2 linked regions of the Coturnix japonica genome follow. The protein of the gene in region 1 purifies or fractionates together with the protein of each later gene. This does not show direct contact. Links are inferred from orthologs where the notes say so. Each region holds a gene or a part of one and is shown on either strand. Other genes may lie near its edges.

Evidence for each region. Proteins that work in one complex are often made in the same cells at the same time.
Region 2: the proteins of ALK (region 1) and PLCG1 purify together in Homo sapiens (affinity purification with western blotting; 3 studies listed by BioGRID, with this or other methods). This does not show direct contact. The link is inferred for Coturnix japonica from reciprocal best matches to the Homo sapiens genes ALK and PLCG1.

What each region holds. Positions count from the first base shown.
Region 1 is NC_029518.1:10,021,365-10,025,014, reverse strand, and holds part of ALK (ALK tyrosine kinase receptor), read right to left. Parts: intron 2,709-3,650; coding exon 2,610-2,708; intron 2,121-2,609; coding exon 1,968-2,120; intron 744-1,967; coding exon 645-743; intron 1-644. UniProt on the Homo sapiens protein: Neuronal receptor tyrosine kinase that is essentially and transiently expressed in specific regions of the central and peripheral nervous systems and plays an important role in the genesis and differentiation of the nervous system.
Region 2 is NC_029535.1:4,202,983-4,206,632, forward strand, and holds part of PLCG1 (1-phosphatidylinositol 4,5-bisphosphate phosphodiesterase gamma-1), read left to right. Parts: intron 1-3,199; coding exon 3,200-3,352; intron 3,353-3,650. UniProt on the Homo sapiens protein: Mediates the production of the second messenger molecules diacylglycerol (DAG) and inositol 1,4,5-trisphosphate (IP3). Plays an important role in the regulation of intracellular signaling cascades.

The sequences.
Region 1 (3,650 bases):
CACTGTCAGGCTAGAAATCACATATCCAGAAATCACATATCACACATATCATGTGTGTGCAACTGACAATTCCCAAAACTCTTAACACTGAAACAGCTGTGCAAATCTAATTGACCAGTTGCCACTTGCTACTCTGGGTATGTCATTTCCCTCCTCTCATTTCTACACTGTGGACAAAGAAAGGTGGCAGAGCTGTGGTTTGAATCACTGGCTGATTCTCACTGATTCGGATCTGTTCTGCTGGCAACCAAATGCAAGAAAAGCACAGTTTAAAATAAGAAAATGCAAGGGTTAAAAATGCTTTTTTGATTTTCAAATAAAGATGCCAAGCACATCCACGCTCCACAAATCAGCAGGCTGTGTAAGGTGAACTTTGTGGGAATTTCAAGCTTAAATGTCATACATTAAGGGGCTAAATCTGTCTATAGGCGCACAAATAAAGAGGTTTGCTTTTAGATATGAAACTTCCTCAAATTGGTCAGCGTAGTTAGAAACAGCTGCAGAAATCTCAAAGAGTGTGTGTGGGAAGGTGCCATTCAATACAGCAGCAGCTATAAACCGCACCTTTTTGCCTCCCAGGGCCCGATTATTCTTGTATCAGATCCAGCCATCACATGAAGAAGTCATTGCAGAGAAACACTCACCTATCATGATTCCTGAAAAAGCCAAAATTAAGGCAGCAACCAATGCTGAAGTCACTACTGACAAAACCAAGGAGAGAGGGAGATGAACCGTTGGCTCAGCTGCAACAGAGACAAGAGGAAAAGGAATTACATTTGACACGATCTTCCAGCAGAAGCTTTGTTTTTTGCAGCTAGATTTGTCTGCTTTTCCTCCCATTTACTCATCTGCTGCTTCTATAGCGTAGGAGCAACCTCTGATGCGATCGGCTCTCAGGATCGATGAACTCAAATATCTCATTGTTTTACTTTCCTCAATTAATACCAAGCCATTAAAACAGATGGTTTGCTATCAAGGAATTAACATGTGCACTCCCTGTATATGAAAACAAGACCATAAAAGCTGGGGGTAGAAGGCTGGGGAGATGGAAAGAACATTAAATAGCCTGGTCTAGAGTGCCGCTATCAATGCCAGATCAGAGCAGAAGGAGGACTGCAATATATCATCTCCTAAATGCATCTAGTCCAGGCACACAAAACTGATAACATATGCACTGCGAAGTATTCCCTAGCTGCACCCTCACTTGGATCACAAGCCACTCAATGACCACCTATTAAGGTTTACTTCACCCTGCAAAATGACCACGCTTTTACTCACTTTGCAGGTGCCCGTGGTAAAAATACAGAACAATTTTTCCATGTCAGTGACAAAGCTGAGAGCAGGATCCCAAAAGCCTGGGGTCACTTGCTACACTGCCGGGCAAGAATATGAAATAAAACCTTGTAATGCAGTTCTAAGCATTCGGTTTCTTAAGCAAGGCAAGTACAGGCACTGCCTTTTATTTTCCTCTCATGCAGAATTTTTTACAGATCCTGCATATACACCTTGTATCCAAGCCCACAGGAACCGCACTCCCCTTTACTTGTACATTACCTCGGGGTTCTTAAGAGAAATAACCTGGAAATTTAGCTGAAAAACTCCTTTTCTGAGAAAACTTTCATGATTTCAAAGCAAAATGTGACTGTTCTTGCAACCAGACCTGCTGCCCTTTGCCTCTTGCAGATAAAACTTGGCTCACAATCCTCAGTGCCCAGTATGTGGTTGATATACTACAAAGCAAACCAGAGATGCTGCTCTTTGCACCATACCCCTGCACTGATATGTCTGTGTTCTAGCAAAATAACTGTACAGCCAATAGCAGCAGAAAAGAAGATAGATAACATACAACAGGAGCCATTTTTAAGAGAGAGACAAGATAAGATTTCCAGATGTCTTACAGTCCAAGCTATAGATTCTGACCATGTGTTTTCCCTGTTTCACACCTTACCAGCCTATCATCTACTTACCTATGCAAGACACACCATCCTCAGCCAAGTCTGTGCCTGGCTCACAAAAGCAAATGACTTTTTGAGTCTCAAGATCAACACGGCACTCGTCCATCTCACAGTGACTGCAGTTAAGGTGCAGCCTAATATCCACCTCTCCATGCCCCTCTGTCACTAGGGAATGGATGAAAGAAGCAAAGTTAAATACTGGCAACATCGTTCATATCATTCCCTCGGGCACTGACAGAAAAGGAGGCACTATGGCCACAGTTGCTGACTGTGGTGGAGAAAAGCCCCATCTAAGGAACTGTTTTCTTCCCACTTTTCATGGTTGCTGTTCTCACATAGAAAATAATGCCCAGCTACATTAACGTCACTGCAGCTGAGGTGCTCTCAGAAAATATCTGTCACGTAGATATTTTCTAAACGCAGTGAAAACACCCAAACAGTGACATCTGGGCAAACACCGGCATAGAGATAGCTGGAGTGGCAGTATTTCTGGGGAGCATTTATACACCACTGCATTGGCCAAGCAATTTTTCTCCCTCTTGTTAAGAATGACAATAACACGTATCCAAAGGTTTCTGAAGGGTCTTACAGATGCAAACTAGTCTTAACATGGAAAGAAAGCCACTAGAGGAGACTGCAGACCAACATGAATACCTTTAAGTGCTGGAGTGTATAAAGTACCAATCGGATTAATAAAGGACACACCATCCTCCCCATCCACCTCTGGGTCATTGTCCTCTGCAGCATTGCCACCTACGTCAAACCAGAAGTTACCTTAACAGACCAAGGCGCATTAGCACTAAAATACAGATAAGCATTGCAACATGCACGGCTTCAGTGTATTTAGGGAGACATCCAAATGAGAAAAGAGAATACATCAAAGTATTTAAAACATAGGGATCACCTAGTGAGTTTCGGTATGAAACACTGGTCTTTCAGGTCTAGAACTTCAATTTATAGCAGCGGATTATTACAGCCTTAGCTCTGTTTTTAGGCGAACTGTTGCAAACTAAGGTATGAATTTCATCTTTAACCATTTGGATGCTGTGAAAACACATAAGGCCTTCTCAGTATCAATGTGGCCAAGAGACTGGAAAACACCAGTGCTCAGTTCAGTATCCTTGCTGATCCAGGTATGTGTCAGCAGAGGGAATAAGTGATCTGATAAACCTTCTTCTCCTTTGCACCCTGAAAACAGGGTGGTCCACCAGGAATGGGGACTGGAGGAATTTGCTCTTCAGTTGCTCATTTGTGCTTGGGCATATAAAACATTCTAGGAGCTAAGTACGAGCAATCCATGAACAAGTCAGAAGCATAGTAAGGTCCGTGTATTTCACAGAAGCATGCAAGGATCCCCCCACCCCCCACCAATAATGGCTTTTCCTCTTTAACCATCTTCAGTGCAAAGCAAAATTATATCATGTGAGGCATTCTGTTGGGAAAAGAAGCATTACACAGAAACATTGGTACAAAACATGCACTTATTTAAACTCATTACTTCCTCTCAGAATTTCAAGTCTAACATGGGCTTGATTTAAGCTGTGGAGAACCAGGGGTTAAAAAGTCCACCACAGTGCAGATGGCTGAAGAAACTATGAGGCCCAGGAGATTAAGGATTAGTAGAGATCTTGAATCTGGTCCACACCAGTTATAATCAACATAATGCCATCTGACAGCTGTCCTGAGACCCACATG
Region 2 (3,650 bases), on another chromosome or scaffold:
TCCTCTTTCCATTTGAGTCACTGGAAGCTTTTGCCTCTCAAACAGGCCGGGCTGGTGACTGAAGGGTGGCCCAGGGCCGTGTTTGGTCTGCAGAGGGGATGCATTGCTTTAAGGGTGGTGGTGCTGGGGGGAGGCAGCAGCCAAGTATGAAGTTTTTTGGCCTTGGAGGCTGAGGCCACACGGTGGAAACTGGCAGCCTTCACGTGCCTGCTGCTTGCTGGGCTGTGGGCAGAGATGGTGAGATAGCAGCATCCTGCTTTGCTCACTTGGGGGACCAGCTTTGGGTTTTTTTTAACGTGTGCTTTCTTGCATTTGAGGGTAATCTGGAGAGATGTGCTGATGATGCAGGATAGGCGGCCGTCAGCCCCCAGCCTGTTCTTGGTATTGGGAGGATGCTTGTGAGATCTTGAAGGTCACCCACACGAGGCCAGGGCTGGTGGAACAGTGAGGCAGGGGCTGCCCTGTAGGAGCAGGGCAGTGTTTGGGCAGAGCCTTCACCTCTCTGCTCCAGATTGTAAAGATGCGAAGTTGTGAATCACCTCATCTCCTGCCCATCTGCCCTCGCTGAGGATTTCTGGGGGTACAGGGAGGAGCTGGAGCTTAGAAGCTGTAGGACACGTGATTCAGGGGTGCAACAGCAGCTTGAGGCGAAGCAGGAAGCTATGTGCCCACTGAGCTCCTGTGGTTGTATCTGGGTATACTGGGGCTCCCATAGAGCAGAGCACTCAGTCCCATCCCACTGCTGGTGGTCAGTCAGGATCAGGCTGCTCCCATCCATCCTGGCTAAACCAGGAGCTCCCTGCTGCCTCCAGCCCATTGATCTGTTTTGAGCATCTTCCCTGCCAAGGCACTCACTGTGGATGCAGCTGCCTCTGCTGTTCAGCTAACACAGACATCACCTCATAGCAAAATGCAGCAGCTGAGAGCAAAGGTTGCAGTTTGCTGCTGTGGGTAGTGAGTGAGATGGAGCAGCTTGCCAGAGCGAGCCATGGCAATGGCACAACCGAGCCAAGGCTGCAAGGAAAAAGAGCTTAACCTGTGTGCTTTCCTAAGGGAGGAGAGGTGCCTGCACATCACAGCAATGAGAGCAGTGGGATCCAGAAACCTGAGTGCTGATGGCCGTGTGTGTGGCCAGGGAGAAGGAGCAGAAACCCGGCACCACATCTCTGTGCACAGGCAGTTAATTACCATCGCAGTATCCCATTTAGTCTCATCTATTGAGGAAAGTGTGCAGGGCTGAGAGGATGAGCTATTGTCACTGTGAAAATCTATCCTGATGAGAGATGGCTCTTCCCTCTGAAATAGGCTTTTGTTGTGTCAAGGTTACTGCCTTCTTTGAGATAGGATATAAGATGTTGGTCTCCACTTCTTGTGTTCCACTGCTGTGTTATTCCCTGTGGTGCTACGTAACAGATCGCTCTCTTTTCTACCTGCACGCATCTGTGAGTTGGGTCTTTTTGTCCACCTTCCTCACCTGATGTGCTTTCAGACCTTCCCTGGGAGCTGTGGGAAGACCAGAAGTTGTCACATAGGTTGTGTTTGGGAGAAACTGTGTTGCAGAGAAGACATTTCTCGCTGTTTTTTTCACTGGGATAAGCTGATGGATACTACTCAGTTTTGATGCAGGTGAAAAGTAGGGTTTGGTGTTGTAACAGAGCCAGAGTTACCCTCCCTCTGCTCCCCTGCAGGCTGCATGCAGGTCCTGTGCTGCTGCTGGGGCTTTGCTGCCCGATGGGAACATGGGATGCTATAGGGATGCAGTATTGCAGTGCTGCACGGTTGGGACGGTGGCATCTGTGCTCACAGTGCTTCCTGCTGAGAGCTCATTTCCTTCCACAGTGTGAGGGGGCTGGGGAGGCTGAGGGCAGAAACCAAACCCTCATGCGCCCAGTGCACATGGGTATGTTTGGGAGGATGAGAGATGAGCAAGCAGCTGCAGGCAGGCGTGGGCCGGAGCTTGTTAACAGCTCGGTGTGCAGGGTGCTCATAGCAGCAGCCGTGAGCTGCTCCCTGCACCACGTTCCTTTGCCGGGCTCCCCTCTTGCTCTGGGTGCTCTCCCTGGTGTGCATTTTGGGGATGCAGTTTGCAAGGATAGCTCAGCCTCCTCTACCCCACAGGGATGCTTTGCAGCAAGTACTTTATTGCCTGGTAAAGTGCCATGAAATCCATTCGTTCCCACTGCTTTTGTCAGGTCCTAGGACAGGAATAGCCTTTGCTGTGCACATCACAGACGCAAAGACCACAGCTGTGATGCGTTTTTACTTTAGATGACATGCCATGTCACTAAGGATGTGACACACAGACAGATGACAATGGGACGCGATGAACCTCCTGGCCACTGGTATCCAAGGGGTAGTTGGTGCCTTACAAAGGCATCTGCTGCTTTAGGGAGCTGGCTCAGCTGTCTCTACACCTGGGGAGCTGGGTCTGCGTGTGGCCTTGGCTGCTGAGCTTTGAGCTACTGCAGCACCAGGCAGGATATGGCTGTGCCAGGCCATCCTATGCTCCCTCTGCACGGTTTGTTACAAGCACCAGGCTGCATCCCAGCCTGCTATTGGGTTTGCTAGGAACGAGCATCTCACAACCCAACCCAGTGCTGTCAGCCTCTGCAGGCTGCTGGGCAGCTCACACTTGTGTCTGCTCTCAAACTGCAGCAAATGGAAGCAAGAAGCAAATCGGTGCGCAGTGACTGCGGTAAGTGGAGTTTAATTGGGATGAATTAGACTCCAGGTTTGCAGTAATCACCATCCCACATTGCTCAGAAGCATCGTCTGCCTTGAAAACGTGACTCAGAAATGTTGTTATTTGATTCCCTCGGGTGTTTCAGAAACTATTTTTTCCAGGAAGCAAAGATTCTCGGGTTTGGGTTTGTTGGGTTTGTTGGGGTTTTTTTGTTGCTGTTGTTGCTGCTGTTGTGTTCTGTCTGATGGTAATGAATGTCCTTTCCCAGAATGTCCTCTGGGAAGGACGCTGTGGCCGCCCTCTCCAGCATCTCTCCAGCTCCCTCTTCTCTCCCATGCATTGCATCCTGGCACATTGCATCCTGCCATGCTGCAGCTCCCCCATGCTGCGGTGGCTGTGTGAGCGCTGCACTGCCCTCCCTTCTCCCGTAAGGAACCACAGACCTTCATTGTCTCAGTGATTTCGAGCTCTTTGCTGATATCCCCTGTGGTTTTTTTCCCCCACGTTGTCTCTTAGTGGATATTCGTGAAATCAAAGAGATTCGTCCTGGAAAGAATTCACGTGATTTTGACCGGTACCAGGAGGATCCGTGCTTCCGACCGGATCAGTCCCACTGCTTCGTGGTCCTCTATGGCACTGAGTTCAGGCTGAAGACCCTCAGCTTGCAAGGTAAAGGGCGGGGGCATCCCCACAGACCCCACATATCTCAGACATCCTTTCGAGGGGTATTGGGGCATATCCTGGCCAGGTGCTCTTGTTGCCATGCATAGGGCATGGCTTTGGAGGCAGGTGGCAGCAGCTCCATAACAGGCACTGCTTAAGTCAGTAGCTGATCTGGTAAAGCCAGAAGTTGTGTAACAGGACCCCTTATTTCAGAGCTCTTGTAGCAGTGCTTTATCTCAGCTGGGCACATCACACGTCAGCTGAGTGCCACCAGCCACACACCGAGTGCTCAGAGCTCACTGGT